Anolis sagrei: one gene and its partners. The main gene of each other region encodes a partner of the protein of the gene in region 4 in a complex. Links are inferred from orthologs where the notes say so. Each region holds a gene or a part of one and is shown on either strand. Other genes may lie near its edges. The genes, in order: MLST8, RICTOR, DEPTOR and MTOR.

The links.
Region 1: the proteins of MTOR (region 4) and MLST8 are in contact, whole or in part, in a crystal structure (PDB 4JSV), measured with the Homo sapiens proteins. The link is inferred for Anolis sagrei from reciprocal best matches to the Homo sapiens genes MTOR and MLST8. Residues at the interface, in NP_001373429.1 of Homo sapiens: Leu2269, Arg2270, Met2271, Ala2272, Pro2273, Asp2274, His2277, Leu2278, Thr2279, Leu2280, Met2281, Gln2282, Val2284, Glu2285, Val2286, Glu2288, His2289, Asn2292, Asn2293, Glu2536; in NP_001186102.1 of Homo sapiens: Tyr20, His22, Asp42, Ser43, Gln44, Val45, Asn46, Tyr62, Asn87, Glu105, Gln148, Thr174, Arg221, Tyr222, Leu224, Ser268, Arg270, Gly271, Trp272, Trp274, Ser290, Lys313, Val316.
Region 2: the proteins of MTOR (region 4) and RICTOR are in contact, whole or in part, in a cryo-EM structure (PDB 6ZWM), measured with the Homo sapiens proteins. The link is inferred for Anolis sagrei from reciprocal best matches to the Homo sapiens genes MTOR and RICTOR. Residues at the interface, in NP_001373429.1 of Homo sapiens: Arg1028, Asp1032, Lys1068, Leu1069, Asp1108, Asp1109, Tyr1110, Asp1150, Lys1187, Asn1196, Val1200, Gln1207, Asp1210, Val1211, Cys1214, Arg1215, Lys1218, Gly1219, Tyr1220, Thr1221, Leu1222, Ala1223, Glu1226, Glu1227, Asp1228, Leu1230, Ile1231, His1234, Arg1235, Arg1238; in NP_689969.2 of Homo sapiens: Leu204, Arg205, Gly206, Asn209, Arg245, Asp247, Val248, Glu249, Glu251, Arg252, Leu254, Thr258, Asp259, Phe260, His261, Tyr262, Arg263, His264, Ser265, Pro266, Asn306, Gly308, Ser311, Gly314, Val315, Cys317, Ile318, Pro319, Glu345, Ile347.
Region 3: the proteins of MTOR (region 4) and DEPTOR are in contact, whole or in part, in a cryo-EM structure (PDB 7PEC), measured with the Homo sapiens proteins. The link is inferred for Anolis sagrei from reciprocal best matches to the Homo sapiens genes MTOR and DEPTOR. Residues at the interface, in NP_001373429.1 of Homo sapiens: Met304, Gly305, Phe306, His1494, Cys1498, Trp1501, Gln1525, Asp1527, Ser1528, Glu1530, Glu1531, Cys1534, Met1535, Ile1536, Arg1538, Arg1547, Gln1554, Leu1556, Leu1559, Gln1562, Cys1563, Lys1566, Arg1683, Leu1685, Asp1686, His1687, Lys1710, Ile1711, Phe1714, Gln1715; in NP_073620.2 of Homo sapiens: Arg54, His56, Leu57, Lys58, Thr59, Tyr60, Pro61, Val101, Arg116, Lys119, Asp121, Gly122, Thr123, Phe124, Lys131, Ala132, Arg135, Arg138, Lys142, Glu177, Gly178, Glu179, Glu185, Cys304, Asn305, Lys307, Gly335, Asp336, Ala337, Val338.

What each region holds. Positions count from the first base shown.
Region 1 is NC_090034.1:21,490,045-21,497,724, reverse strand, and holds the start of MLST8 (target of rapamycin complex subunit LST8), read right to left. Parts: upstream 3,234-7,680; 5' UTR 3,141-3,233; intron 2,673-3,140; exon of another isoform or gene 2,591-2,672; intron 1,544-2,590; 5' UTR 1,533-1,543; coding exon 1,404-1,532; intron 1,291-1,403; coding exon 1,239-1,290; intron 522-1,238; coding exon 359-521; intron 1-358.
Region 2 is NC_090022.1:277,985,583-277,993,962, reverse strand, and holds the start of RICTOR (rapamycin-insensitive companion of mTOR), read right to left. Parts: upstream 3,564-8,380; 5' UTR 3,468-3,563; coding exon 3,419-3,467; intron 3,239-3,418; coding exon 3,191-3,238; intron 1-3,190. UniProt on the Homo sapiens protein: Component of the mechanistic target of rapamycin complex 2 (mTORC2), which transduces signals from growth factors to pathways involved in proliferation, cytoskeletal organization, lipogenesis and anabolic output.
Region 3 is NC_090024.1:21,849,317-21,857,319, forward strand, and holds the start of DEPTOR (DEP domain-containing mTOR-interacting protein), read right to left. Parts: upstream 3,108-8,003; 5' UTR 2,531-3,107; intron 1-2,530. UniProt on the Homo sapiens protein: Negative regulator of the mTORC1 and mTORC2 complexes: inhibits the protein kinase activity of MTOR, thereby inactivating both complexes. DEPTOR inhibits mTORC1 and mTORC2 to induce autophagy.
Region 4 is NC_090033.1:7,029,775-7,037,724, reverse strand, and holds the start of MTOR (serine/threonine-protein kinase mTOR), read right to left. Parts: upstream 3,384-7,950; 5' UTR 3,304-3,383; exon of another isoform or gene 3,289-3,303; intron 3,278-3,288; exon of another isoform or gene 3,155-3,277; intron 514-3,154; 5' UTR 472-513; coding exon 352-471; intron 214-351; coding exon 105-213; intron 1-104. Other genes in the region: EXOSC10 (exosome complex component 10), read left to right, coding at 3,656-3,763, 5,532-5,668, 5,921-6,044, 6,151-6,255, 6,329-6,497. UniProt on the Homo sapiens protein: Serine/threonine protein kinase which is a central regulator of cellular metabolism, growth and survival in response to hormones, growth factors, nutrients, energy and stress signals.

The DNA of each region.
Region 1 (7,680 bases), on a different chromosome or scaffold from region 4:
GGTGAAGGTCAACAATCCAATGGATATATTATACCCAGATATAATATACATTATAATGTGTGAAGGCAGAGGAATGCAGCACATTTGCAGAAGTGTGCCCTCTTGGGTCCACACCGTGGATCTAAAAAAGCATTGGTGAATTGCATTCCATGCTCTGTGCCTATTTCACATTTAATAACGTTCTGCACTTGGAGAATTCTGGTATCTGTAGTCTGATGAGGCACTAGAGCTCTCTGGGGGAGAATTCTAGCTGCCCCTCCTGAACTGGATATCCTAGGGTCCTGTTGCCATGCTAAGTGGGATGACAGTGTTGTGCAAAAGCCCCATCAGGGTTAAGGAGAGGAAAGAGGCCACAAACCGGAGGTCCCAGATACGGGCCATGCAGTCTTCTCCCCCAGTGTACATCCAGCGCCCATCTTCATGGAAACCCACTGAGGTGATGTTCTTGCTGACTCCGTCGTAGTTGATGACGGGGTTCGGGTTGTTGGAGTTCAAGTCATACATCCGGATGTGCTGGTAGCCTGCAGAAGAGACACCATCTCAGCTCCCAAAGGCCTGGAAGTTATTTATTAATGCCAGCATCACAAATAAGAGGGTTCAGGTGCAATTCTACTTCTCAGAGAGAGGCAGCCATTCTCAAAAACACATAATTATTGACCCAGGGTGCATCTGTAGAATGAATGCAGCCTGACACTGCTTTAACTACAAGGGCTCAATGCTAATGAATTCTGCAGATGTATGTTTATAAAGTCTTTCATCTTCTCTGCCAAAAAGTTCAAAATTACAACTCTATATTTTTGAGCCATGGCAGTTAAAGCAATGTCAAACTGCATTCGTTCTACAGTGTAGAATGATGCACTTGAAGTGGGTCAAGAATGGTTCAATCTCTATAACGTGGACTTCTAGCACTACAAGGAAAGAAAGTAAAACATCAAGAAACATTGCCTCTTTGACAAAAGATTTTAAGAATAAAACTATACGGCTAGAGTGGACTCGGTGTTCATCTACACTTTGAAGGTAATACAGTTTGGCACTATTTTAACTGTCCTGGCTTGAAGCTGTGAAATCAGTCAGGCACCTGTGCTTTTTGACAGAGAAGCTCAAAAAGTAGCACTGAGCCACTGGGGTTAAGAGTGGTGTCAAACTGTGTTCATTCCACAGTGTAGATGCTCCCTTGAAAGCATGTAATAAGCACACAAACTATGCTACACCATGCTGTCTGCAGATGGCATCCTTACCGGCTGCAGCTATCATGGTCCGGTCCGGGGTGATCTCCAGAGCATTGACCTGCTGGCAAAAGGGGTTAAGGGGCAAACAGAAGGCAACCCCATCCAGCCCTCCAAAAAACCCCTAGGAAGGTTGTAAACCCCAGCATTCTGCCTTCCCATGCAGCCAAAGGATACAGAGTCCTGGTGCTGGACGGTCCGGGTGCAGATCCCGCTGTGGGCCTGCCAGAAGCGGACAGTATGGTCATAGCCAGCGGTGGCCAGGATGACTGGGTCGCTGCCCACGGTGCCCTGTGCGGTGTTCATGCCTCTGTGGCCTGAGGAAACATCCACACAAAGGTCTTTCTTACTGGACTCCAGTTTTCATCTTCTTTATGGTTCTTTCTTTCCTTCCTCTCTGTTTCCTTCCTACACCTTCTCCTTCCTTTCTTTTTTCCCTTCCTTCCTTTTTTCCTTCTTTTTTTCCCCTCCCCCTTCCTTTCTTCTTTCTATGCTTTCCCTCATACACCTTCTCTGCTCTTTTCTTTTTTCCTTCTTTCCTCTCTCCCTCTTCCTTCATTCCTTTTTTCTCTTCCTTCCTTCCATCCTTCTTTCCTTCCTCTCTCCCTCTTCCTTCCTTTTTCTCTCCCCTTTCCTTCTCCCCTTGCTTTCCCTTATACCTTCCCTGCTTTTTCCTTCCTTCCTTCCTTCTTTCCCACTTCTTTCCAGCCTTTCGACCTTCTCTTCTCCTTCTCTCCCCCTCCCTCTCTCCCTTCCTCTTCTGTCTCCCATTTCCTTCCTTCTTTCCCTTTTCTCCCTTTCTTCCTTCTTCCCTCATGCAACCTCCCTGCTTCTTCCTTCCATCCTTCCTTCTTCTTCTCCCAAATCCTTTTTTCCAACCTTTCATCCTTCCTTCCTCTCTTCCCTTCCTTCCTTCCACCCATCCGTCCGTCCTTCCTTCCTTCCTCTTCCTTTTTCTCTCCCTTGCCCTTCTTTCCCTTTTCTCCCTTCCTTCCTTCCCTTGCTTTCCCTCATAGACCTGCCCTTCCTTCTATCCCTCCTTCTCTCCCCCTTCCTTTTTTCCAGCCTTTCACCCTTCTTTCCTTCCTTCCTTCCTTTCTCCCTTCCTTCCTTTCCCATCCTTTCCTCTACCCTCACTTTCTGCCATTAAAACAAATGCATATAAAATAGTACAATACATTAAAAACTACTCAATGAAGTGACGTACATGCATAGAAGCATAGAACCTTTCCGTTTAATAAGGCTTTTAACTGAAGTATGGGAGGATATTAGGGATTTTAATGTTGGTACATAGGGAAGCAAACACGGGGGAGGCTATTGCTTTTACCTTATTTTATGTATCGATGTTTTTATTATGGTTTTACCTTTTTATGATGAATGTTATATGTTGGTATGCTGTAAGCCACCTTGAGTCCCAGTTGCGGAGAAAGGTGGGGTAGAAATACCCTAAATAAATAAATAAAAATAAAAATTGGCCCTTTCCATCATTAAAGCAAATGGACATAAACATATTAAAAAGGCATTAAAAACTACTCAATGAAGCAATGTACATGCATTGAAATAATAAACAATTAAGGACCTTCTGACATTACAGCAAAGAGAAATTAAAATAATAAAATGCATTTTAAAACTCTCGCAAATGGGGATCATTTTGGAGTATTTGGGAAAAAGGAATGCACAGTCTGCATCATTATGATTACTGTTGTTGTTGTTGTTGTTGTAGGGTCTCTGAGTTTAGAGGCCCTTAAGCTGGGAGATCCAAGCTTCTGGTCCTCATTGAGCCTCTTATTCCCATCTTGCAGGGCTCATTGTCAGCATAAATTAGGGCAGAAAATGGACAACCTTGAGCTCAGAAATTACACAAACGTAAGTATAAGAAATATAAATATTTTGGGTGGGGGAATTGCTACTTACCTTCGGAATTAAAGGAAGGACTACTGGGCAGACAGGCAGACTAGGAACAAGACAGCCACGGCGCATGCGCACACGAGCATCCATTGGGCACCTAGTGCGCATGTGAAACGAGGAAACCAGTCCGCATGCGCAGAAGAGACCCTAGAACACATGGGAAAGTGTTCCTAGTTCTATGGCCGCCCCATAGGGAAGCAGCGACACCTGTCGGCAGAGAGTGGGAAAGCCAGAGCAGGGCCCAACTCGGACATGCGCAGTAGCGTCTGTCAGGGAAGCTCACCCAAGCCTCCAGTCCCTGGATGATGATGTTTTTGATATAGAAAATGATGATTTATGATAATGCATAAATCATAAATCCTGTCTGGCTTCCAATATAGGGACTTCAGACAGCAAACAATAAGACAAATTAATAGGAGTATGCATATATACATAGTAAATATACAATGTGTGTGTATATATATATGTATATATTTATATACTTCTGTTAATGCATTGCACCACCACACATGCATATATATGCAATGCATTAAGAGAGGTATACATACAATAATAACATTTTAATGTAATAATACTAATATATATAATAATAATGTTGTAATATATATAATATATACGACAACTTATAATAGTACAATATATGTTATGATACCAATAATATAATATACTAATAGTGTATTATATATAATAATAATAATATAGTACTTTATAATTATATATAATAATTGTATATTATATATTACATGTAATATTATTAATATAGTAATGTATAATACTAATATTGTGCTATGCTAATATAATGCATATACATGTAATATTGATAATGATGTTATAATGTAATTCAATATAATACTATTATTATTATATTGTACTAATAATATTAATAAGTGAAGGAATCTGCTCTTCATAATTCTGAATGAAGCAGAAAAGCTAGAAGAGGCTAATAAAAATAATAATTTATTATATTAGTACTAATAATATTAAGTGGAGAGATCTTCTCTTTCCCACATAACATTATTAATAATGTAATATATTAATAATCTAGTAACAATAATAATAATAGTAATAATAATATCTGGAAGGATCATCTTTGCCCAGCCCTGGATGGGACAGATGGCTAGAAGGGGGTAATTCATAACAACAACAACAACAACAACAACAATAACAGCAACAATGTTTTGTGTTTGCCTTGTTTATTTTATTGTTATTGAGTTATTTTTGACATTGTGTTGTCGAAGGCTTTCATGGCCAGAATCACTGGGTTGCTGTGAGTTTTCTGGGCTGTATGGCCATATTCCAGAAGCATTCTCTCCTGACGTTACCCATATCTATGGCAGGCATCCTCAGAGGTTGTGAGGTCTGTTGTAAACTAGGCAATTCGGGTTTATATATCTATGAAATAATGTACAGGGTAGGAGAAATAACTCTTCTCTGTTTGAGGCTGTTTTTGACAGTGTGTTTATTATTGTTTGTTTCTTTTTTTTTGTAAGCTGCTCTGAGTCTCATCAGGGGAGGGAGCGGGATATAAAAAAAGCAATAATAATAATAATATACTAAATAATTATTTAATATACTAAATAATTTAATATACTAAATAATGTGGGGAAAGTGGAAAGTAAAAGGAAGAGGGGCCGACCAAGGGCAAGATGGATGGATGGCATCCTTGAAGTGACTGGACTGACCTTGAAGGAGCTGGGGGTGGTGACGGCCGACAGGGAGCTCTGGCGTGGGCTGGTCCATGAGGTCACGAAGAGTCGGAGACGACTGAACGAATGAACAACAAACTAAATAATAGATTAAAATAATAATATCGCAATATAATAATAGAATAATAATAATAGAATAATAATAACCCATGTGCCAGCAGGACTGAAGACCGACAGGTTGGAGGTTCAAATCTGAAGAGAGCACAGATGAGCTCCCTCTGTCAGCTCCAGCTGCCCATGCAGGGACATGAAATACGCTTCCCACAAGAATGGTAAAACATCTAAACATCCAGGCGTCCCCTGGGCAACACCCTTGCAGATAGCCAATTCTCTCACACTGTTTCTCAAGTCGCCCCTGACTTGACATTAATAACAGTAATGTATTGTCAAAGGCTTTCATGGCTGGAATCACTGGATTTTTGAAGTTTTTTCGGGCTGTATGGCCATGTTCAAGAAGCATTCTCTCCTGACGTTTCGCCTGCATCTATGGCAGGCATCCTCAGAGGTTGTGAGGTCTGTTGGAAACTAGGAAAATTGGGTTTATATATCTCTGGAAAGTCCAGGGTATATATTATTGATCATGTTGTTGTTCATTCGTTCAGTCGTCTCCGACTCTTCGTGACCTCATGGACCAGCCTACGCCAGAGCTCCCTGTCGGCCGTTACCACCCCCAGCTCCCTCAAGGTCAGTCCAGTCACTTCAAGGATGCCATCCATCCATCTTGCCCTTGGTCGGCCCCTCTTCCTTTTGCCTTCCACTTTCCCCAGCATAATTGTCTTCTCTAGGCTTTCCTGTCTCCTCATGATGTGGCCAAAGTACTTCAACTTTGTCTCTAGTATCTTTCCCTCCAGTGAGCAGTCGGGCTTTATTTCCTGGAGGATGGACTGGTTGGATCTTCTCGCAGTCCAAGGCACTCTCAGCACTTTCCTCCAACACCACAGCTCAAAAGCATCGATCTTCCTTCGCTCAGCCTTCCCTAAGGTCCAGCTCTCACATCCGTAGGTGACTACAGGGAATACCATGGCTTTGACTAGGCGGATCTTTGTTGCCAGTCTGATGTCTCTACTCTTTACTATTTTATCGAGACTGGACATTGCTCTCCTCCCAAGAAGTAAGCGTCTTCTGATTTCCTGGCCACAGTCTGCATCTGCAGTAATCTTTGCACCTAGAAATACAAAGTCTGTCACGGCCTCCACGGTTTCTCCCTCTATTTTCCAGTTGTCAATCATTCTTGTTGCCATAATCTTGGTTTTTTTGACGTTTAGCTGCAACCCGGCTTTTGCGCTTTCTTCTTTCACCTTGATTAGAAGGCTCCTCAGCTCCTCCTCGCTTTCGGCCATCAGAGTGGTGTCATCTGCATATCTGAGGTTGTTAATGTTTCTTCCAGCAATTTTCACCCCAGCTTTGCATTCATCCAGCCCCGCACATCGCATGATGTGTTCTGCATACAAGTTAAAAAGGTTGGGTGAGAGTATGCAGCCTTGCCGGACGCCTTTCCCAATCTTGAACCAGTCTGTTGTTCCGTGGTCAGTTCTGACTGTTGCTACTTGGTCCTTGTACAGATTCCTCAGGAGAGAGACAAGGTGGCTTGGTATACCCATCCCACCAAGAACTTGCCACAATTTATTATGATCCACACAGTCAAAGGCTTTAGAATAGTCAATGAAGCAGAAGTAGATGTTTTTCTGAAACTCCCTGCCTTTCTCCATTATCCAGCGGATATTGGCAATCTGGTCTCTCGTTCCTCTGCCTTTTCTAAACCCAGCTTGAACATCTGGCAACTCTCGCTCCATGTATTGCTGGAGTCTTCCTTGCAGGATCTTGAGCATTACCTTACTGGCATGAGAAATAAGGGCCACTGTACGGAAGTTTGAGCAGTCTTTCGCATTTCCCTTTTTTGGTATGGGGATATAAGTTGATTTTTTCCAGTCTGATGGCCATTCTTGTGTTTTCCATATTTGCTGGCAAATGGCATGCATCACCTTGACAGCATCATCTTTTAAGATTTTAAACAGTTCAGCTGGGATGCCGTCGTCTCCTGCTGCCTTGTTGTTAGCAATGCTTCTTAAGGCCCATTCAACCTCACTCCTCAGGATGTCTGGTTCTAATTCATTCACCACACCGTCAAAGCTATCCTCGATATTGTTATCCTTCCTATACAGATCTTCTGTATAGTCTCGCCACCTTCTCTTGATCTCTTCAGCTTCTGTTAGGTCCCTGCCATCTTTGTTTCTTATCATACCAATTTTTGCCTGAAATTTACCTCCAATGTTTCTAATTTTCTGGAAGAGGTCTCTTGTCCTTCCTATTCTGTTGTCTTCTTCCACTTCCATGCATTGCTTATTTAAAAATAGTTCCTTATCTCTTCTGGCTAACCTCTGGAATTGCGCATTTAACTGGGCATATCTCCCCTTATCCCTGTTTCCTTTTGCTTTCCTCCTTTCTTGGGCTACTTCCAGTGTCTCAGCAGACAACCATTTTGCCTTCTTGGTTTTCTTTTTCTTTGGAACGTACTTTGTTGCCGCCTCCTGAACAATGTCTCGGACTTCTGTCCATAGTTCTTCTGGGACTCTGTTTACTAAATCTAGTCCTTCAAATCTGTTCTTCACTTCCACTGTATATTCGCTAGGAATGTTAGTGAGATCATATCTAACTGGTCTGTGTATTTTCCCTGATCTCTTTAGTTTTATTCTAAATTGGGCAATAAGAAGTTCGTGATCTGAGCTACAGTCAGCCCCAGGTCTTGTTTTCACCGACTGGATGGATGTCCGCCACCTTTGGCTGCAAAGGATGTAGTCAATCTGATTTTGGTGTTGACCATCTGGTGAGGTCCATGTATA
Region 2 (8,380 bases), on a different chromosome or scaffold from region 4:
AAGTAGTCCAACGGGCAGCAGACAGACTGCTCACCAGAGTGGCACACAGGAAACACATAACCCCCTGCTGTGTCAGCTCCACTGGTTACCAATCTGCTACCAAACAATTCAAAGTGCTGGCTTTAGCCTATAAAACACTAAACAGTTCTGACCCAGTTTACCTGTTTGAACGTATCTCCCCCTATGAGCCAGCTAGGAGGTTAAGATCGTCTGGGGAGGCCTTGCTCTCAGTCCTGCATCCCCTTTCAGGATTGGTGGGGATAAGAGACAGGGCCTTCTCAGTGGTGGCCACTCGACTATCCCTAATGAAATCAGACCAACCCCCTTCTCCTGACCTTCAGGAAAAATCTAAAGACCTGGATGTGGGATCAAGTGTTCAGTTAGTAATCCACTAGAGAATATGGAATAGTACAATGACACTTAGGAATGGTTTCTAACTGGAGTGGCGTACAAGGAGCATACAACACCCTTGCTACTTCAGCTCCACTGGCTGTCAGTCTACTACCGAGCACAATTCAAACTGCTGGCTTTAGCCTATAAAGCCCTAAATGGTTTTGGCCCAGCTTACCTGTCTGAATGTATCTCCCCCATGTACCAACCTAGATACTAAGATCGTCTGGGGAAGCCCTGCTCGTTCCCATCTTCTTCACAGGTGCGGCTGACAAAGACGAGGGACAGGGCCTTCTCGGTGGTGGCCCCTTAGCTATGAAACTCCCTCCCCAGGTGGGCCCGCTCTCTCCTATTCTATGGTTATGGTGAAGGGGCATATGGTGAAGCGTTTGGAGAGTAGCACTGGGCTGTATGCAGCCACGAAGTGAATGGCAATGTGATTGGAACGGCTCCTGGATTATGATTTTTGGTTATGAATGTTAGTGTTTCATGATTTTCATGACAGAATTGGGCCAAACTTCCCACACTGAACCCCCATGACCAACATAAAATACTTAAGGCCATCCAGTCCAACTCCCTTCACCAGGGCAAGAAAATGTAATCAGAGCCCTCCTGACAAAGATAGATATGATTCACACACACACAGATATAATATAGATTTGAAAGGATCCCAAGAAGGACAATTATATGTTGCATGTTTCAGAGTAGGCAAACTAGACAATCTCCACATCAACACTGACATAGAAACAAGAAGAAATACTGTTTACCCATAAGCATAAAGGAATCACATATATTACTAGCTGTCCCCTGCCATGCGTTGCTGTGGCCCAGTCTGTTCATCTGGAAAATAAAGGGAATGAGAAAGTACTGGTTTCTAATATATGTAATGTCTTGATGCTTGAGGGTAAACAATATTTCTTGTTGTTTCTTTGTCAGTGTTGATGTGGAGAGTGTCTGGTTTGTTTACTCTGGAACATGCAACATATCATTGTCCTTCTTTAAGGGTCCCTTTCAAATCTATGATACTATATATCTGTGTGTGTGAATCATATCTATCCATCTATCTAACTATATCTATGGCTGGATGGCTCTTTGTCAGGAGGACTTTGTTTACGTTTTCCTGCCCTGATGAAGGGAGTTGGATTGGATGGCCTTAAGTAATTTCTGTTGGTCATGGGGGTTCTGTGTGGGAAGTTTGCCCCGATTCTGTCGTTCGTGGGGTTCAGAATGCCCTTTGATTGTAGGTGAACTGTGAATCCCAGTGTCTACAACTCCCAAATGTCAAGGTCTATTTTCCCCAAACTCCATCTGTGTTCATATTTGGGCGTATTGAGTGCTTGTGCCAAGTTTGGTCCAGATCCATCATTGTTTAAGTCCACAGTACTCTCTGGATGTAGGTGAACTACAACTCCCAAACTCAAGGCCAATGCCCACCAAACCCTTCCAGTATTTTCTGTTAGTCAAGGGAGTTCTGTGTGTCAAGTTTAGTTCAATTCCATCGTTGATGGAGTTGAACTATAAATCCCAGCAACTACAACTCCCAAATGACAAAATTATAATTTTTCAAGTGATGGTCACTCCTTGTGTTGTGAGACATTTTGTTGCCAAATTTGGTGTGATTTCGTTCATTGATTCATTTGTTTTTAAGGAACTCATTATGCACAGAGCATTTATAGATAGATAGATAGATAGACCATTACTTTATTTTCCAGATCACCAGACTGGGCCACATTTCAGCTGTCATGTCCAGCACTTTTAACTTATTCATTACATTTGGCCTGGCGCTAGTTTTAAATGTGTCATGATCTATTGTTTTTGATGTTTTACTGTTATTGCTTTAATGTTTATTGGTTTGTTTTATGAGTTTTATTGTTGTATTAGTTATGCTATTATTTTATTGAGGGCCTTGGCCTTTGTAAGCTGCACCGAGTCCTTCGGGAGATGTTAGGTAAAGGTAAAGGTTGTCCCCTGACATTAAGTCCAGTCATGTCCAACTCTGGGGTGTGGTGCTCATCTCCATTTCTAAGCCGAAGAGCCAGCGTTGTCCATAGACACCTCCAAGGTCATGTGGCCGGCATGACTGCATGGAGCGCCGTTACCTTCCCGCCGGAGCGGTACCTATTGATCTACTCACATTTGCATGTTTTCGAACTGCTAGGTTAGCAGAAGCTAGGGCTGGCAGCGGAAGCTCATGCCGCTCCCTGGAATTGAACCTGTGACCTTTTGGTCAACAAGCTCAGCAGCTCAGTGCTTTAACCCACTGCGCCACTGGGGGGGAGGGGCGCTAACATCAGGAGATGTTAGCAGGGTACAAATAAAGTTAATAATAATAATAATAATAATAAGGACAATTATATGTTGCAAGTTTCAGAGTAGGCAAACTAGACAATCTCCACATCAACACTGACATAGAAACAAGAAGAAATACTGTTTACCCATAAGCATAAAGGAATTACATATATTATAAACCATTACTTTATTTTCCAGATCACCAGACTGGGCCACAGCAACGCGTGGCAGGGGACGGCTAGTGTGGCATTGAATTATTGCCATTTGGGAAGCCGCTCTGAGTGGGGTAAATAAATAAACCATTCTATCTCTTGCGGAGAAGGAGGGGGTAGCGGCTGCCCGAAAGATGCACCTCGAGCCCTCCTTGAGCCTGGGAAGGCTTCCAGGCAGGCCTCGCCCTCCTTTCTCCCTCCCTCCCATGCCTGCATCTCCGGCTTCCCATTCACTCCCATTCTGAAGACACACGCCTAGAGAGACGCAACCCCCTCCCCGCTCTCCTTTCCCCAATTACCTCGGGTGAGATCGAGGGGGACGTTCTCCTCGCCGCTGTCGTTCCGGCCTGTGTGGGGAACAGGGAGGGGAAAACGAGATCTGGGTTAGAGAGAGATGGGGAAAAGGAAGAGGGGCCGCGGACCCGACGGGAAAGGAAGAGAAGGGAGAAGCCGCCGCCGCCGCCGCCTTCTTTGTCCTTGCCTCCTCCCTCTCTTTCTCTCCCCTTCCCGGCTTCGGCCAAGCTCACCTCGGATGCGGAGGTGCCTCAGCGACCGGGCGCGGAGGTTCACCGCCATGTTGACGGGCGCCGCACTCACAACACCGGAAACCTCGCCCACTCTCGCGAGAGCTGGGGAAGGGAAAGGTTTTGGCTTGCCTGGTTACTCGAGAGAGAGAGGAAGGAAGGCTGCCTGGTGTGCGCGCGCTCCCTCCCTCTCTCGCGCCTCCTCCCCCTCCCTCCGCCTTGTGCGCGCGCTTGCTTCACTTCAAGCAGCCCAATCCCAGATGGGAAAAAAAAGGAGCCAATGATTGACAGGAAGGCAATGTCCCGCCCCCCTCCCTGCTGTTGAGCATCTGCATGTTTACAGCCTTTTGAGATTGAGGCTTCTCTATCAAATCCACGTCCATCCCTTGCAGATAGATAAAATAAATGGGTTGTTGTAGGTTTTTTCGGGCTGTATGGCCATGTTCTAGAGGCATTCTCTCCTGATGTTTCGCCTGCATCTATGGCAAGCATCCTCAGAGGTGGGAAGTGGCAGCCAATAATAGTGAAAGGACCAAGGCAGAGACATCTCCAGCTCATCCCCTGTTTGGGTATCAGCCAGCACGTCAACGACTTAAATCCAGACATAGTTTTCTAAGATCTACAGAGACACTCGCTGGAACACCCCAGGAAGTGAGAGTCCAAAAGTGGCAGGCTCAAACCCAGAACTTCAACCAATGGCTGATACCAAATGAGAGACTCCCCCCTGGGCACACAGAAGACTGGGTGACTTGGAAGGAGCTGAACAGACTGCGCTCCGGCACCACAAGATGCAGAGCCAACCTTCAGAAATGGGGCTACACAGTGGAATCCTCGACATGCAAGTGCAGAGAGGAGCAAACCACGGACCACCTGCTGCAATGCAACCTGAGCCCAGCCACATGCACAATGGAGGACCTTCTTGCAGCAACACCAGAAGCACTCCAAGTGGCCAGATACTGGACAAAGGATATTTAATCAACTACCAAACTCACACATTTTGTATTTTCTCTGTTTGTTTGCTTTGTTCTGTTAGAAATGTAATATAATTGACTGGCTGCCCTGACACGAGAAATAAAATAAAAATCCTCAGAGGTAGTGACCTCACTACCTCTGAGGATGCTTGCCACAGATGCAGGCAAAACGTCAGGAGAGAATGCCTCTAGACCATGGCCATACAGCCCGAAAAAACCTACAACAACCCAGTGATTCCGGCCATGAAAGCCTTCGACAATACAGATAAAATAAACCTTAAATGTAGATACACCTCAGTGGGTTAAAACCCTTGTGCTGGCAGGACTGAACACCGACAGATCGCAGGCTCAAATCCGGGGAGAGCGTGGAGGAGCTCCCTCTGTCAGCTCCAGCTCCCTACATGGGGACATGAGAGAAGCCTCCCACAAGGATGGTAAAACATCCAGGAACCACTTTGACCAGGTGCCACTTTGACCAGGGAACAGTTTGACCAGCGACCACTTGACCAGGGACCACTTTGACCAGGTGCCACTTTGACCAGGGAACAGTTTGACCAGCGACCACTTGACCAGGGACCACTTTGACCAGGGAACAGTTTGACCAGCAACCACTTGACAAGGGACCACTTTGACCAGGAACCACTTTGACCAGGAACCACTTAACCAGGGACCACTTTGACCAGGGACCACTTTGACAGGAACTACTTTGACCAGGTGCCACTTTGACCAGGGAACAGTTTGACCAGCGACCACTTGACCAGGGACCACTTTGACTAGGTGCCACTTTGTCCAGGGATCACTTTGACCAGGGAACAGTTTGACCAGCGACCACTTTGACAGGAACCACTTTGACCAGGGACCACTTTGACCAGGTGCCACTTTGACCAGGGAACAGTTTGACCAGGGACCACTTTGACCAGGAACCACTTTGACCAGGAACCACTTAACCAGGGACCACTTTGGCCAGAGATCACCTTGACCAGGGACCACTTTGATCAGGGACCCCTTTTACCAGGGACCACTTTGACCAAGGGTCACTTTGACCAGGGACCATCCTCCAACATGAGTAACAAAAGGCTTACGAATCAGTTTTTGGTCAACTTTAGATTCGGTTTGGGTTTTTGGGGTGCTGATTCAGAAAATTGCATTAGATAAACCATATCAGCTGCCCCCCACACACAGAATTTGCTTTGACATTTCTGTGTTGTGAGATATCTGAAATATATCTGAAACATATTTTCAATACACATTGAAAATAAAAGTAGCAGTTTTAGTAATTAATAGTAATATTACTATATTTTTAATTCTCCCCACAGCTCTAGGTGGGGCAGAAAATAATAATAATTATTATTATTATTATTAATTATTTATTTATATCCCGCTTTTCTCCCAAAACAGGACTTACAATCAAAACAGGACAATGTAAAATAAATTACCATGTAATATATTAAAACACACCACTGCAAAACACATATAGTAAAATACATGGTGCAATACTTAAAATTTAAATTTAAAAGTCACAGTTTATGAATTGTTAGACCGTAGGCTATTATCATACAAAATAAATAAACACAAGATAAAAGTGCAACAATTCTAAATCCCTGCAAAAAAAATAAAATAAATCTTGTGTTTTAAACAGTAAATGCTAGTAAAATGCAATACAGTTAAAACACTTTCGAATATAAATGGCAATACTATAATTAGGTTAGGTAACAGCACCCCCAAAGCAATAAGCTGCAATCGTTAGCAATAACATTGATTGAAATTAGTTTGAAAAATTGCCAAAGAAATGAATGATACTGCAAACTGTATTGTGTTTTCTTAATTTTATTTCGGCACCAAAAATACACTAGAAAGACCTGCAATACTGAAAAATGCCTAGGTTATTAAACTTGGTAATTAAACCAGAACCAAGAGTTTAGGAAATTTAATTTTGTAGAGTAAGAAAGGGACAAGAGTTGGGAATTGCAGGCAGGAATGTGTCATTTCCATTCCAAAGCAGGTTTGTGTGCATGTGTGTGAATGAGAAAAATGCAAAGTTGAAATATCCGTAAATATATATTGACACAAGAGCCACAAGAGCCACTACCGGCTGTTAGGAATTGTGGGAGTTGAAGTCCAAAACACCTGGAGGGCCAAAGTTTGCCCATATCTGTTCTATAAGAAATGCCATCTTACTTCACCATTGTATATAGTAGGACTTGAGCTTTCATAGATTTTCGTATTCATGAAAAGTCCCTGTACATTGTGTAGCTAAGCCCCACTGTAGAGTAAAGTACCCATATGTTTGTAGCATGTGTTATATATACCTTATAAATCTCTGTGTCATTATTTTGTTGTTGTTATTATTATTATTGTCATCATCTTTGTTTATACCTCACCTTTCTCTCCATGGGGACTCAAGGCGGCTAACAATCCATACTAGACAAGTTTAAAAAGAACAATACAAAAGTTTTAAAAACCCATTAAATAGTAACAGTGTGGTATGTTAGCTACTTCTAACTGATAGTTTAAAGTTTGCTTTTAACTCCTTGCAGAAACAAATCCAACTTGAGCTCCTTGATATTGAAATAGATCAGTTTAAAATGGCTGCTGATGTTATGACTGATAGGATAGATAATACCAAGAGTGATCTTTTGTGTGAGGCAGAAAAGGTACATTTCAGCTGAGACCCTGGTGTGGAATTGCGTCCAAAAACAAACCAGAGTGAGGATAAAGGCGTTGACTTTCCCTTTTCTACATCTTCAAATGCAGGCAAACAAAGAAACATGCTTCTACATATGTAACATCATCACTACATCACTTTAGCATGATAGAAATATCAAATTATATCTTCTACATGCAAGAGGCATGTCTTCATTTTTTTTCTAAAGCAGCTTACAACAATAGAGATCCACCAAGGGGCCTACTTTTGACCTGTTAGGAGGGAGGGAGGGAGGGAAAATCCTTACTTTTAGAAGTAAGAAGGTATGGCTTGTGTTAAGCTGTACCAGTCTTTGGAGTGTATAGATAACATGCCCCCCTTCTCCTCCCACTTTCAACACAGATCTCCTTCCGCATTCTTTCTGTCCTGTCAGCTTGGCTTCCTAATACAGAAAGAACCTAATTTTTTTCCTACATTTCAGTGCTTGTAATGTACATACAATATATGTATAAATATCTATAGTTCCAATATCTCCACATCACTGATAGTGAGATCTGAACTGTAGATACAGAACCTGAGGCACTGATACTGAGTCCAATAAGTGGCAACCTGCACCAACAATCAGCTGTCCTTGTGAGTCTGTGCACATGGTGAGCAAGAAAAAGCCTCATGTTTAGAAATAAAGCTGACCAAGTTGAAGACAAAGCCACTTAGGTATTTTATTCAATCAACTCAAAATGATGCCAGCATGCAGTAATCCGTAAAAGTAAGCTGAGATACATTGCAGTCAAAAACAGACATTTTTATACAGTGCACTTTGAAATTCCAGTTCTTGCCCAGCTGGCTTTGCTGTTATTGTCTAATCCTTGATGACGTCAGAGAGGGCCCCCTGTAGAGGAGAGTCCAGGAGTCAAAGTGTTGAAATGGGTTTCCAATGGATTATGTGGTCCCAGCAAGGGACAAACAATATGGGCCATCAGGACCATAAGGAAGGCTGAGTGAAGGAAGATAGACACTTTTGAACTGTGGTGTTGGAAGAAAATTCTGGGAGTGCCTTGGACTGCACAATCAAACCAGTCCATACTCCAGGAAATAAAGCCTGACTGCTTTTTGGAGGGAAGGATATTAAAGGCAAAGATGAAGTACTTTGGTTACATAATGAGAAGACAGGGTACCTTGGAGAATGTAATGATGCTAGAGAAAATGGAAGGAAAAAGGAAGAGGGGCCGACCAAGGGCAAGATGGATAGAAGTGAGTGGCTTGACCTTGAAGGAGCTGGGGATGGAGATGACCGACACAGAGCTCTAGCGTGGGCTGGTCCATGAGGTCACAAAGACTCAGAAGCAACTG
Region 3 (8,003 bases), on a different chromosome or scaffold from region 4:
TCCAACAGACCTCACTACCTCTGAGGATGCTTGCCATATATGCAGGCGAAACAACAGGAGAAAAATTGCCTCCAGAACATGGCCATATAGCCCGGAAAAACCTACAACAACCCAGTGATTCTGGCCATGAAAGCCTTCGACAATACGTTTCCATGTATATTTCCCCCTTTCCGGTGTCACCTATTGTCAACACCTTAATAATTCTGTACTCATCTCTCACTTATATCCATCCTGTTTCACTGTTTTCATACTCTAAGGACTTTATTGCATGAAGCTATTTGGGCAGTCAGGGATAGTGGCAGTTTACTGGTATGGTTATTCTTTGGATGTCTAAACTGCATTTCTAATTTTTATATGGAACTTTAAATGACTGCAATACTAGAAGTTTGGGGAGTGATCAAATATTTCATTTGGGGGTGTGGCAGCATTCAATTTGGGAAGCAATGCCCTCGATTCTGCCCCTCCATCGCAATGCTCTTACTGTAACATCCAGCCAACCCATATCTAGATTCTCCTTCTGTAAGGATGGTCTCTCCTCCCATTCCCTGGCAACCTGCATCTCCAGAGGCAGCTTTCCAAAAGGCTGTTATGCCCTCCTCCCTGATTTAATTGCAAATGTGATGTATCAATCTCTTGTCTTTTTCGCTTCCTGCAGCCCAGTCCACATCCTAGCCTCCAGCTCTTTCGCAATTCGCAGCCCATAAATGCCTTTCTTCTCTGGCTTAACAAGTTGTCAGCCTTCCCAGTCCTTTAATTAAATTAATGTTCCTTGCAGACCCACACATTCCTTCAATGCACAATCCCTTCTGCAGCCCAGAAAAGAGAGAGAAAGAAAACAGATACATTTAAAAAAAAATAACCCTTAAATCAATGGAATCATTTTTGCCCCAGACAGTTTGGGAGATGTTAGTTTTTAGACAATAATGATAACAACAAAGTCTATGTGTGCTTCTTTTGTCCACCTGCTGGGCATTGATAACAACAACAACAACGGTCAAATACAGTCTCTTTTGTCCACCTTCAGGAAATCAATAATAATAGTAGTAATAATAATAATAGCAATAATAATAATAACAGTCAGCATAGCGATCTTGTTTGCTGTGTGCTAATCTTTTTATGCATCAAATAATAGTAGTGGTATTAATAATAGTTTCTTATGGACTTCAGCAATATCAATACTTATAATAATAGTCCAATCTAGCTTCTTTTGTCAACCTACCAGACATCAGTAAAAAAAACAACCCATGATTATCATTATTATAGTCAAATATATTTTCTTTTGTCCACCTTGTGGGCATCAATAATAATAACACTAGTCGAATTGGGGTTTTTTTGCCCACCTTCAGGACCTGAGCAACAATGACATCATTGTGTTGTCCAAGGCTTTCATGGCCAGAATCAGTGGGTTGCTATGAGTTTTCTGGGCTGCATGGGCATGTTCCAGAAGCATTCTCTCCTGACATTTCACCCACATATATGGCAGGCATCCTCAGAGGCTGAGGAGTCTATTGGAAACTAAATAAGTGAGGTTTATATATCTGTGGAATGTCCAGGGTAGGGGAAAGAACTCTTGTCTGCTTGAGGTATGTGTGAATGTTGCAATATGCCACCTTGATTAGCACCTCCCAACAAAGGATTCCCCCAGGCAGCAACTAGCAAACCGCAGGCCATTGCAGGTGGCAAATTGCAACATTCACACCTATCTCTAGCAGATGAGAATTCTTTCTACATTCTACAGATATATAAACCTCACTTGCCTAGTTTCCAACAGACCTCACAACCTCTGAGGATGCCTGCCATAGATGTGGGCGAAACGCCAGGAGAAAATGCTTCTGGAGCATGGCCATACAGCCCCGGAAAACTCACAGCTACCCAATGACATCATCATCATAATCAATCAATAATAACACTGTACCAGTTTTGTACACCTTCTGAACAGCAATAGTTATAACAATAGCCTGAATCCTATTGGTTTGGTGGGTGTGCAAGAGCTCCCACTGAATTCTCTAATTCAGTTTGCTTCCAGTTGCTGTCCAATCATGATATTTCTTAACCATTGGGTGCTATTTACAAGGGAAAGGCAATGCAAGGAATAGATCTGTCCTAACACTGGCTCTTTGGGGTGTCATGCAAGGGGGGGGGGTGAGGCATTGCAAGAGCACACCCACCAAACCAATTCCTGAGTGGTGAGCCAAGCTATCGCAAAACCCCATAGATCCAATTCATTTACTCTCATTGGGACGAACAGGATACAGGTGATAAAGAATAATAATAATGGTAGTGGTTTGGTTCTTTAACCTGCTTCTAATTCTCTAATTCAGTTTGCTTCCAGTTGCTGTCCAATCATGCTATTTCTTAACCATTGGGTGCTATTTACAAGGGAAAGGCAATACAAGGAATAGATCTGTCCTAACACTGGCTCTTTGGGGTGTCATGCAAGGGGGGGGGGGGAGAGATTGGCAGGAGGAATTGCAAAGCCCTCTCCCCCAAATGCCCTTCTTTCTTTCTTTCTTTCTCTCCTTGGACTCACCTGGATTGCAGGAGGGGAGCAGCCTCCTCTTTCCTTTCTTCCTTCCCTTTGGAAAGCCTTGGGCTGGTGACAGGTTTGGGATGCAGCAAAGCCCCAGCCTAAGCTCTCCAGCCCCAAAGGCAGCAGCAGCAGCAGCGTCCCCCTCCGTCCAGCCCCAAAGCCATCTTCCCAGTGCCTTCCAGTGTCAAACGCGTGTCATCATCCCGACGCGGTTCGGTGTCAAACAGCAAACTGGTTCAGCTCCAGGTCACAAGAGGAGGAAGGGGCAAAGGGCAGAGGGTCCAACGAGGCAAAGGAGGAGAAAGAGGAGAAAGAAGGAGGAAGCGCGCTTGCCTGCCTGCCTGCCTGCCTGCCTGCCTTTTGCAGGATCCAGCTGCCGCTTTGCCAAAGCGAGGAGGAGCTGGGGAAAGCTCTCTCTCTGGGTTGGCTTTCTCTCTCTTCTCCTTCTCCCTCCCCTCCCTCTGCTTCCGTTCAATCCTTCCTGGGCTGGATCGACCCTGTCATATCATTAACCGCATTGCACTGGGTCATATAATGGCAGGGGAGAGCCAGCCCCTCGTCTCCTCTGCTGCTGCTGCTCTCCAAATGCGCGCACCCCAAAAGCGGGTCAAGGGGAGAGCGCCTCCCTTTGTCAATCCGGTGTACTCAAGGCTTCTTTCTCCTTGGGGGCGTCTACACCAGCCATGGGCAAACTTTGGCCCTCCAGGTGTTTTGGACTCCAAGTCCCAGCATTACTAACAGCCTCAGGCCATTTCCTTTCCCTCCTCAGCCGCTTAAGGAAGGAGCCTGAGGCTGTTAGGAATGGTGAGAGTTGGAGTCCAAAATACCTGGAGGGTCAAAGTTTGCCCATAACTGGTCTACACTGTAGAATTTATTTATTTACTGCATTTATATACTGGGTTGTTGTAGGTTTTTTTCGGGCTATATGGCTATGTTCTAGAGGCATTCTCTCCTGACGTTTCGCCTGAATCTATGGCAAGCATCCTCAGAGGTAGTGAGGTCTGTTGGAATTAGGAAAATGGGTTTATATATCTGTGGAAAGACCAGGGTGGGCCAAAGGACTCTTGTCTGCTGGAGCTAGGCGTGAATGTTTCAACTGACCACCTTCACTAGCATTTGATAGCCTGGCAGTGCCTGGAGCAATCTTTTGTTGAGAGGTGATTAGATGTCCCTGATTGTTTTCCCTCTGCTGTTTTGCTGTTTTAATTTTAGAGTTTTTTTTTAATACTGGTAGCCAGATTTTGTTCATTTTCATGGTTTCCTCCTTTCTGTTGAAATTGTCCACATGTTTGTGGATTTCAGTGGCTTCTCTGTGTAATCTGACATGGTGGTTGTGAGAGTGGTCCAGCATTTCTGTGTTCTCAAATAATATGCTGTGCCCAGGTTTGTTCATCAGGTGCTCTGCTATGACTGAATTCTCTGGTTGAAATAGTCTGCAGTGCCTTTCATGTTCCATGATTCGTGTTTGGGCAATGCTGCGTTTGGTGGTCCCTATGTAGACTTGTCCACAGCTGCATGGTATACGGTAGACTCCTGAAGAAGTGAGAGGATCCCTCTTGTCCTCTGCTGAACGTAGCATTTGTTGAATTTTCATGGTGGGTCTGTAGATAGTTTGTATGTTGTGTTTCCTCATCAGCTTCCCTATGCAGTCAGTGGTTCCCTTGATGTATGGCAGGAACACTTTTCCTCTGGGTTGGTTTATATACTGCTTTTTTATTATTTATTTACAGCATTTATATTCCACTTTTATCACCCCAAAGGGGACTCAGGATGGATCACAGTGGGGGAAAAAAGTATTTAGTCAGATACAGATTGTACAAGTTCTCCCACTTCAAAAGATGGGAGAGGCCTGTAATTGACATCATAGGTAGACCTCCTTCCTTTGATTGCTGGCATTTTCTGGTATTTCTTTTCTGGTGTTGTAAAATACCTCCCTGCTTAAGCAGTGCCTAATTTCTCTACTCATAGCTCACAGCTGTTTTTGAACTACTTAGGTGGACAGTGAGCTAGGCTGAAGGTCAGGTGCTCACCCCGACCTGGGCTTCAAACTGCCAACCTTTCAATTGGTGTGATCTATTGCTTCTGATGAGGAAAATCAAAAGCAGTTTCTAACATAATAAAGACAAAATCTAATGCCGTGCATACCTGTAAAAACCAAAACATAATAGCTAGACAATAACATAAAGACCTAACCAAATTAAAACATAAAACATAAAATAACATCAATAACATTTATATTAAAACTCACCCATCAACAACACTATTTAAAAAGTTATTAGAATCATGCCATTCAAAATCTAATCCATACTCGTTCTATTTGTTCGTTCACTATTCCTTGTTCTCTTATTGCACTAAGAACTTTTATTGAACTAAGAACACATTTTTACTTTCTTTCTGAATGTCAGGAGGGAGGGGGCTGCTCTAATTTCACTAGGTAGGGAGTTACATAGCCGAGGGGCCACCACTGAGAAGGCCTTGTCTCTTGTCCCCACGTCGCACTTGCGAGGGAGGTGGAATTGAGAACAGGGCTTCCCCAGAAGATCTTAATCTCCAAGGTGGATCATAGAGGGAAATATGTTCGGACAAGTAAGCTGGGCCAGAATTGTTTAGGGATTTATAGGCTAAATCCAGCACTTTGATTTGTGTTCGGTAGCAGACTGGAGAGAGTTGTGTGCTCCCTGTATGCTGCCCCAGTTAGAAATCTGGCTGCCACCCGCTGGGCCACTTAAAGCTTTCAAACAGTCTTCAAAGGCAACCCCACGTAAAGTGCATTGCAGTAGTCTATCCTTGATGTAGCAAGAGCATGGACCACCATGGCCACTTCAAAATGGACTCCAATTGCTTTGGCTCAATGCTATTGAATCCTGGAATTTGCTATTTTGCAAAGTCTTTAGCCTTCTCTGCCAAAGAGTGTGGGTTGCCTCACCGAACTATAACTCCCCCAATCCCATATCATTGAGCCATGCCAATTCAAGTGGTGTCAAACTGCCATATTTCTACAATGCCATATTTCTCAGGAAGAGCCCCCGGTGGCGCAGTGGGTTAAACCCCTGTGCCGGCAGGACTGAAGACCGACAGGTCACAGGTTCAAATCCGGGGAGAGCCGGATGAGCTCCCTCTATCAGCTCCAGCTCCTCATGCAGGGACATGAGAGAAGCCTCCCACAAGGATGATAAAAACATAAAATCATCTGGGCGTCCCCTGGGCAATGTCCTTGCAGACGGCCAATTCTCTCACACCAGAAGTGACTTGCAGTTTCTTAAGTCGCTCCTGACAAAAAAACAAAACAAAAACAAAAACAAAAACTAACCTCAGGAAGACGCTTTGCTGATGAGGGAAAGATGAATTCCTAGGGTGCATCTGCACTGTACAATTAGTAGTAATAATAATAATAATCATCATCATCATCATCTTTATTTGTATCCCATGCCATCCCTGCCAGAGGGGACTCGGGAGTGGCTTACAACACAAGAACAGTGCAGACCCTAAACAATAATTAATTAAGATAAACAACAAAATTAACTTAAGACAGCCAAAGCAGCACAAAAAATATAAAATAAACCAACATATTAAATGTATGTAGTCGGATACTACCTCAATTACTGTGGAATCATGGGGTTGGCAGTTTTGCAAGGGAGTTGTGGTTTGGGGAGAAATCAGATGTCTTCTCTGTCAAAGAATGCTGATTACTCCCCAAACCACAGCTCCCAGGATTTCATAGCATTTAGCTATGGGAGTCAAAGTAGAATCAAGTTGTATCAATTCTGCAATGGAGATGTTCCCTTCATGTGCCTGCAAGAGAACAGCCCCATAGGTTGGTAGGCTTTTTTGGGAGACACTGTAGAAATGATACAGTTTGACATCACTTTAACTGCCTTGATGTTATGGAGTCATAGGATCTGAAGTTTGGTGAGATACCATCAGTCTTTGGCAGAGAAGGTTCAAGACTGTATAAAACTCCAAGAGTTCATAGTATTAAGCCATGGCAGGCAAAGTGTGGCCACACTCAATTAATTCTTCAGTGTAGCTGAACCCCTTGTGTGCCTTCAAGTTGTCTGATCACTTAGGGCAAACCTATGGATTTCCATAGGGTTTTTATTTAGGGAAGGGATACTCAGAGAGGATTTGGACAGGTCCTTCCTCTGAAATATAGCTTAGTGCTCCCAGCAAAGTCTGGAAGCCAAGCCTAATGAGGAGCAGTTTAGGCAGCTAGGTATGTTGAGCCTGGGGAAGAGAAAGCTAAGAGGGGGGCATGATATGACAGATATTTGAATATTTTATTGTTTATTATTTGAAACATTTATATTTCACCCTTCTAACCCCGAAGGGGACTCAGGATAGAGCACAATATATATACGGTTCTGGTCCAGTTTACCTGTCCTAACTTATCTCCCTCTAGGAATCACCAAGGACCTTAAGAACATCTGGCAAAGCCCTGCTCTCAGTCCCACCGCCACCGTAGTCACGTTTGGTGGAGATGAGAGGTAGGCCTTCTCTGTGGTGGCCCCTTGGCTGTGTATCTCCCTCCATTATGAGATTAGATCTGCCCCATCCCTCCTGATCTTCCAGAAGAAATTCAAATCCTGGCTGTGGGATCAAGCGTTTTCAGAATAGACTAATTTACTGGTGAAGATAAGGTTGTAGTGGACCACAGTGGACTGATTTGGATGACAATTTGAATTGGCAAACTGTTTTAATGTATATTTATAACTTTTTAATGTATGTTAATTGTGTTTTATGTTATGTTATTATTTTGTGTTGGCATTGAATAGTTGCCTGTTGGAAGCTGTCCTGAGTCCCTCTTTGGAAGTTGAGAAGGACAGGGTATAAACATTGTAAATAAATAAATATATGGCAAGCATTTCATGCTGGGATATTAAATAACTATAAATATACACAAACCTTTTTTGGTTGTTTATTTGTTCAGTTGTTTCTGAATCTTCGTGACCTCATGGACCTGCCCACACCAGAGCTCCCTGTTGGCCGTCACCACCCCCAGCTCTTTCAAGGTCAAGCCAGTCACTTCTAGGATACCATCCATCCATCTTGTCCTTGGTCGGCCCCTCTTCCTTTTTCCTTCCATTTTTCCAGCATAATTGTCTTCTCTAAGCTTTCCTGTCTTCTCATGATGTGGCCAAAGTACTTCAACTTTGTCTCTAGTATCCTTCCCTCCAGTGAGCAGTCGGGCTTTATTTCCTGGAGGATGGACTGGTTGGATCTTCTCGCAGTCCAAGGCACTCTCAGCACTTTCCTCCAACACCACAGTTCAAAAGCACCTCTCTTCCTTCGCTCAGCCTTTCCTAAGGTCCAGCTCTCACATCCGTAGGTTATTACAGGGAATACCATTGCTTTAACTATGCGGATCTTCGTTGCCAGTCTGATGTCTCTACTCTTCACTTGAGATTGGCCATTGTTCCCCTCCCAAGAAGGAAGCGTCTCCTGATTTCCTGGCTGCAGTCTGCATCTGCAGTAA
Region 4 (7,950 bases):
CGTAAGATTATCATATTATAACTGCTTCCTGTGAACTTGTCATAGGCTGACAAGCCTAACTAAACTACAGACCACTGATTTAGAGTGAAGACCCAGGTACTCACCTATAGCCAGAATGCCTCCTTTCCTCTCATTTGCATCTGAACTAGAGACCAACTCAAAGATGTGGTGATTCAGCTGGTCATAAAAACGAGTGGATTCCTCTTGGCTCATCTACACCAAAGGAAAAGAGGAAGAAAAAGTTCAGTCTCATGGGCACTGCTCGGACACAAAGAGGATGCGTGTTTCCGTCCTTTGGGCTCCTGAATTCAAAGCCCCGCATTCCCGGAGCCCCCCCCCCCTCTCTCTCACCTCTCGGAGCTCCATGGTCACATAATGCTGCAGGTCTTTGGCCGCTTTTGCCCGGGTTTCTTCATTCCTGCTCTTGAGGCCGGTGGCAAACTGCTGGAGGATAATGACGGTCCCCGACATGGTGGCGGTGGTGGATCAGAATCTATGGGGTTCTTTAGGGTCCTGGAAACAGAAGGAAACCATTCTGAAAAAGCCAAAGGAAGAAAAAGGCCGCAACGTAACACAGCAAGTGCCGCCATCCTCGGCAGCAGGCTTGCTATTATTATCAATATTATTATTATGATTATTTGATGCACAACAGGACTGGTACACAACAAACAAGATAATTCTGCTGGCTTTTGTATTCGATCACACATTGGACACTTTCCAAATGTCTAGGACTATGTGATGTATCGGCGAATAATGCGTGCAGATCCGAGTAGGCAGCAGTGTTATTAATATTATTATTAGTCTCCTGCTATTGTTCTTATTACATTATTAGTATTATCTTTATTATTATTATTATTATCATCATCATCATCATCCTTGGCAGCAGTGTCATTACTGCTGCTATTATTATTATTATTATTATTATTATTATTATCCTACTGCTATTGTTCTTATTACATTATTACTATTATTATTATTACCCTACTACTATTGCAATTAATTATTATCCTACTGCTATTTTTCTTATTACATTATTACTATTATCATCATTATCCTACTGTTATTATTACATTATTATTATCCTACTGCTATTGTTATTTAATTATTATTATTATCCTATTTTTTCTTATTACATTATTATTCCCCTCTTGCTATTATTACATTATTATACTACTGCTATTGTTATTATATTAATATTATTATCCTACTATTATTACATTATTATTATTACTCTACTGTTATTGTTATTCCATTATTATTATTATTATCATCCTGCTATTGTTCTTATTACATTGTTATCATCTTTATTACGCTACTGCTATTATTCCATTATTATTACCCTACTGCTATTATTATTACTATCCTGCTATTGTTCTTATTACATTATTATTACTCTACTGCTATTTTTCTGCTTACATTATTATTATCATCATCATCATCATCATCAGCCTACTGCTATTGTTATTACATTATTATTATTATTATTGTTATTATTATTCCTCTACTGCTATTATTATTACATTATTATTACCCTACTGCTATTATTATTACATTATTATCATCCTACTATTGTTCTTATTACATTATTATTATTATTATTATTCCTCTACTGCTGCTATTATTATTATTATTATTCTTATTATTATCCTACTGCTATTGTAATTACATTATTATTATCATCATCCTACTATTGTTCTTATTACATTATTATTATTATTCCTCTACAGCTATTATTAATATTATCCTACTGCTATTATTACATTATTATTATCATCCTACTATTGTTCTTATATGATTATTATTATTATTACTACCCTGCTGCTATTGTAATTACATTATTATTATCATCATCATTATCCTACTGCTATTACTACCTTATTATTATTATAACCTTACTGCTATTATTATTACATTATTCTTATTACCTACTGCTATTGTAATTACATTATTATCCTACTATTTCTTCTTCTTCTTCTTCTTATCATCATCATCATCACCATCATTATCCTACTGCTATTGTTATTACCTTACTATTATTACTATTGTACTGCTATTCTTATTACATTATTCTTATTACCTACTGCTATTGTAGTTACATTATTATCCTACTATTTCTTCTTCTTCTTATCATCATCATCATCATCATCATTATCCTACTGCTATTGTTATTACCTTACTATTATTACTATTGTACTGCTATTCTTATTACATTATTCTTATTACCTACTGCTATTGTAATTACATTATTATCCTACTATTTCTTCTTATTATTATTATTATAATCATCATCATTATCCTACTGCTATTGTTATTACCTTACTATTATTATTATTGTACTGCTATTCTTATTACATTATTCTTATTACCTACTGCTATTGTAATTACATTATTATCCTACTATTTCTTCTTCTTATTATTATTATCATCATCATCATTATCCTACTGCTATTGTTATTACCTTACTATTATTACTATTGTACTGCTATTCTTATTACATTATTCTTATTATTCCTCTACTGCTATCATTATTATTATTATCCTACTGCTATTCTTATTACATTATTATTATCATCCTACTATTGTTCTTATTACATTATTATTACCCTGCTGCTATTGTAATTACATCATTATTATCATCATTATCCTACTGCTATTATTACCTTATTATTATTATAACCCTACTGCTATTATTATATTATTATTATTACTTACTGCTATTGTAATTACATTATTATCCTACTAGTTCTTCTTCTTATTATTATTATTATCATCATCATTATCCTACTGCTATTGTTATTACCTTACTATTATTATTATTGTACTGCTATTATTATTACATTATTATTGTACTGCTATTGTCCTTATTACATTATTATTATTATCATTATCCTACTGCTATTGCCATTACATTATTATTATTACCCTATTGCTATTGCCCTCATTACATTATTATCTTTATTATTGTTGTTGTTGTTATTATCCTCTTCCCTATCAGCCATTTTATTAGTGTTATTAATACTATTATAACTATTTTTATTATCATTATTAATATTCGTGGCCATGTTAGACCTGCTATTGTTGTTAATTACTATTATATTATTGTTATCTAATAGTAATTAACATTATTATTATCCCTGCTCTCATGATCACTCACCTCACAAAGGATATTCTTGCTGTTCTGAGGTAAATTGTGAGGTAAATTCCGTGGTGGACATTCCCCTTCGTTGAGGGAAACCTTCTGAAGGGGAATTGCCCCCCAAAATGTCCTCTTTACTTCCCAAAAATTACCTTTTTTCGACTCACCTCTCTCCTCAGTCTCATCTTCGCCTTTTGCCACCCCGTTCTTTTGACTAGCCAATCAGCTTCTTCGAAATACTAAACAGACCAATAGGAAGGCGCGGCTAGGGTGAGTGACGGGCGTTGGTTCCTGCCCACCACGAAGACAACCTTTCCTTCTCCGCCTCCGCTCAGCGCGAGGGAGGGGCTTCTGGGAATAGACCAATCAAAGGAAAGAATAAAGAAGATCGGCATTAGGGAAACACCAATCAAATGCGTCTCTGGGAAATTTCGCGAGATTCAGCGGGAGTATGCTTTCTTTTCCAAGATGGCGGCTGTGTGAGAGAAGGAAGCGGCGCTCGCTGAGAAAAAGCGGCAAATGGCGGCGAAGGAAGGATTGAGCGGCCCCGACGAGGCGACGGCAATGGAAACCGACCGCGAAGGCTTCGTCCTGCCCGGATTTGGGGACGCAGATGCCTTCGTGAAGGTAGTTTTGAGGGAGGAGAAGGCCCCAGCGGGAGAGCGCATGCGCGCGCTAAGCATGCCGGGAATTGTAGTTTTCAGGGAAGAATGCCCAATTCATGAATCTTAGGCCTCACTTAAAGGATTCTGGGAAGTGTAGTCCTCCAAAAGGACCTTTTCCTACCTATTATTTCCTTTTTATGTCTGCTGGGCTTGGGTTTTACCCCTCAAAGGGAATCTTTTTATTTTAATATTGAATTGAAATAAAATTTTGTTATTTTTGTTATTTTATATTGATTTATTTCAAATTAAATATATTAAATATACAGTAATTATATTGTGTTAGTGTAATCTCTGCTTATTAATTTTATATGCATTCTAATATATTTATTTTAATTTGTCTTAACTTATTTTCCCCATAGAGAATTATATTATGATCTTAATATAATACGTATCCATCAGTTAGTTTTATATTGAGTGTGTGATATAAATAATTATATTTTACATTCATTTATTTTTCCCCCATTTGGAGAGGAGGATTCTGGGAGGTGTAGGTCTGAAAAATGAACATTTCCTTTTTATTTTTATATTTTTAATAATTTATAATTTATTTTCCATACACACACACACAGTTTATATAATTATTCCCATTTTATACAAATTTTTCCATATGTATATATATAGTTTATTGTTCCCATTTATATATATCATACTCTAATTTCCACCATACATATATACCTATATATAATGTAATTTTCCCATTGTAATCATATTTTCCTCATAAATATATTTAATAATTTAATAATTTTGCATACACACACACACACACACACACACACATTGTTTATATAATTATTCCCATTTTATACAATTTCCCCCTCATATATATACATATAGCCATCTGAGGGCTGAGAAAAACGGTATATAAATAAAGTAAATAATATATATATTATTTTTCCCATTTCTATATATTATACTCTAATTTCCACCATGCATATATGTATGTATATATAATGTATTTTCCCATTTTATACATATTTTCCTCATATATATATATTTAATAATTTATCATTTATTTTCCATATATATACATACATATGGTTTATATAATTATTCTCATTTTATACGTTTTTCCCTCATATATATATATATATATATATATATATATATATAATTTATTTTTCCAATGTCTATATATTATACCCTAATTTCCACCATACATATGCTATATACTTATATATAATGTAATTTTCCCATTTTATTCATATTTTTGTCATATATATATATATATATATATATATATAATTTATAATTTATTTTCCATATATACACACAGATAGAGGTAGACATTGATAGATAGATAGAGGTAGAACTGGATAGATAGATGTAGAAATGGATAGATAGATAGATAGATAGAGGTAGAAATTGATTGATAGATAGAGGTAGAACTGGATAGATAGATGTAGAAATTGATAGATAGATAGATAGATAGATAGAGGTAGAACTGGATAGATAGAGGTAGAAATGGATAGATAGATAGAGGCTGAAATGGATAGATAGATAGATGTAGAAATTGATAGATAGATAGAGGTAGAACTGGATAGATAGATAGATAGAGGCTGAAATTGATAGATAGATAGAGGTAGAAGTTGATAGATAGATAGATAAATAGATAGAGGTAGAAATTGATAGATAGAGGTGGAACTGGATAGATAGATAATTGTAGGCTGAACTATCTACCTTGAGTTCCCAAGGCTTCCTTTCCTGACGGTTGTCCTGCCCTTGCTTCCCAGCATGCCCTGGGCTCTGTGGTCTCTGTCACCAAGGCCTCCAATGGCCTCCCACAGCCGGGAGACGAGTACGACTTCTACCGCAGCTTTCCTGGCTTCCAGGCCTATTGTGAGACGCAAGGAGACCGGCTTCTCCAATGGTGAGTCTTGCATCGAATGTTGGAAGGGACCTCCAAAGGCCATCCAGTCCAACCCTATTCTTCTGCCAGGCAGGGGGCACCTTCCAAGCCCTCCTGACAGATGGCTATCCAGCCTCTCAGACATTGGAAGCTTCATAAGGCTATAGAAAATTGGAATCCTGGAGAAAGCAAACCTGCTTCCTCCTCCTTAGGACCTTCTTCCCAATATGTAGACATGACTCTTACGAAGCTGTATTCTGTACCATTTCCCAGCATGAGCAAAGTGATGCAGTATCACGGCTGCCGAAGTCACCTCCGGGACCGGAGCACCGTGACGGAGCTGGAGGACAAGTTCGACCTGCTGGTGGATGCCAACGACGCCATTTTGGAGCGCGTGGTGAGTGCGATCGCCCTGTATAAGTTGGAGGGCTTGGGTGGCAGGAGGGGGCTGGACTGGATGGCCTTTGGGGGTCCCTTCCGACTGTATGGCTTCATAATTGCAGGGCACGCTCTTGGATGAAGCGGCCGGCGTGAACAAGAACCAGCAGCCGGTCCTGCCTTTGGGTTTGCAGCCTCCCAAGACCATCGTTTCCAGCTGGAACCGCAAGGTGAACCTCCTCTTCCTTCTGTTTACATATTATGTGGGAGTGATGTTGTGCTAACGCCCATGTCTCCTCCCAGCAGAGCAGCGAGGCTAGCAAGCGGTCCCGGCCCGAAACCTTCCGCCTTCTCCACGCCAGGAACATCCTGCGCCCGCAGCTCAGGTTCCGGGAGAAAGTGGACAACTCCAACACCCCCTTCGTCCCCAAACTCTTCGTCAAACCCAACGCCATGAAGCCGCTGCCAGAAGGTGACCGAACGAGGGTCAGAAAGGGGCCTGGCTATGGCGGAAGGACAGGGCTTCCGGGAGCAGTTGTGGCCATCTGTCCTCCTGACTCTCACTAGAATTTGACTTTGTGGCAGATGAGAAACATGATATATTTGGAAAGTTACATTTGGGGGGGGGGGGTCCTGTGTCCCTAGCACCAGTAAATGTGGAAGGGAGTTTGGAGAGTTAGTTTTTATATTATTATTATATTTTATCATATTATATTATTTTATTATGCTTTTATTTTATATTTTTCTTTTTTCTTTTATTATATATTTTATGTTTATATATACACAAACACACAAATACGTGTGTGTATATCTTTCTTGTATTATTGGCAGATGAGAAAGATTATATATTTGTAATGTTATGTATTACATATTTGCCCCTAACCCCCTATTATTATTATTATTATTATTATTATTATTATTCGGGAGTTATATTGAACAGATAATATATTATTATTATTATTATTATTTGGAAGTTATATTGAACAGATAAAGTATTACTGTTATTATTATTATGGAGTTGTATTACACAGATTTATTATTATTATTATTATTATTATTTGGAAGCTACATTGTAAAGATAAAGTATTATTGTTTTTATTTTATTATGTGATGCAGTATCACGGCTGCCGAAGTCACCTCCGGGACCGAAGCACCGTTTTAATTTACATTTTAATTTTAATTTTATTATATTTTTATGTTTTTTTATATATATCTTTTATTATTGGCAGATGAGAAACATTATACATTTGTAATGTTATATATCATATATTTGGCCCTTATTATTATTATTATTATTATTATTTGGAAGTTACATTGAACAGATAAAGTATTACTATTATTATTTGGGAGTTATGTACAGATAAAGTATTACTATTATTGTTATGGAGTTATATTACACAGATTTATTATTTGGAAGCTACATTGTAAAGATAAAGTATTATTTTTATTTTATTATGCTTTTATTTTACATTTTAATTTTATTATGTTTTTATTTTTATATATATCTTTTATTATTGGCAGATGAGAAACATTATATATTTGTAATGTTATATATTATATATTTGCCCATTATTATTATTATTTGGGAGTTATATTGTACAGATAATATTTTATTATTATTAGGAAGTGATATTGCACAAATAAAGTTTTACTATTATTATTTGGGAGTTATAATGTACAGATAATGTATTATTATTATTATTATTATTAGGACGTGATATTGCACAAATAAAGTTTTACTATTATTATTTGGGAGTTATATTGTACAGATAATGTATTATTATGATTATTATTAGGACGTGATATTGGACAAATAAAGTTTTACTATTATTATTTGGGAGTTATAATGTACAGGTAAAGCATTATTATTATTATTATTATTATTATTGCGTTTCCAATTATTAATGGCTTCACCTCATTTGAAG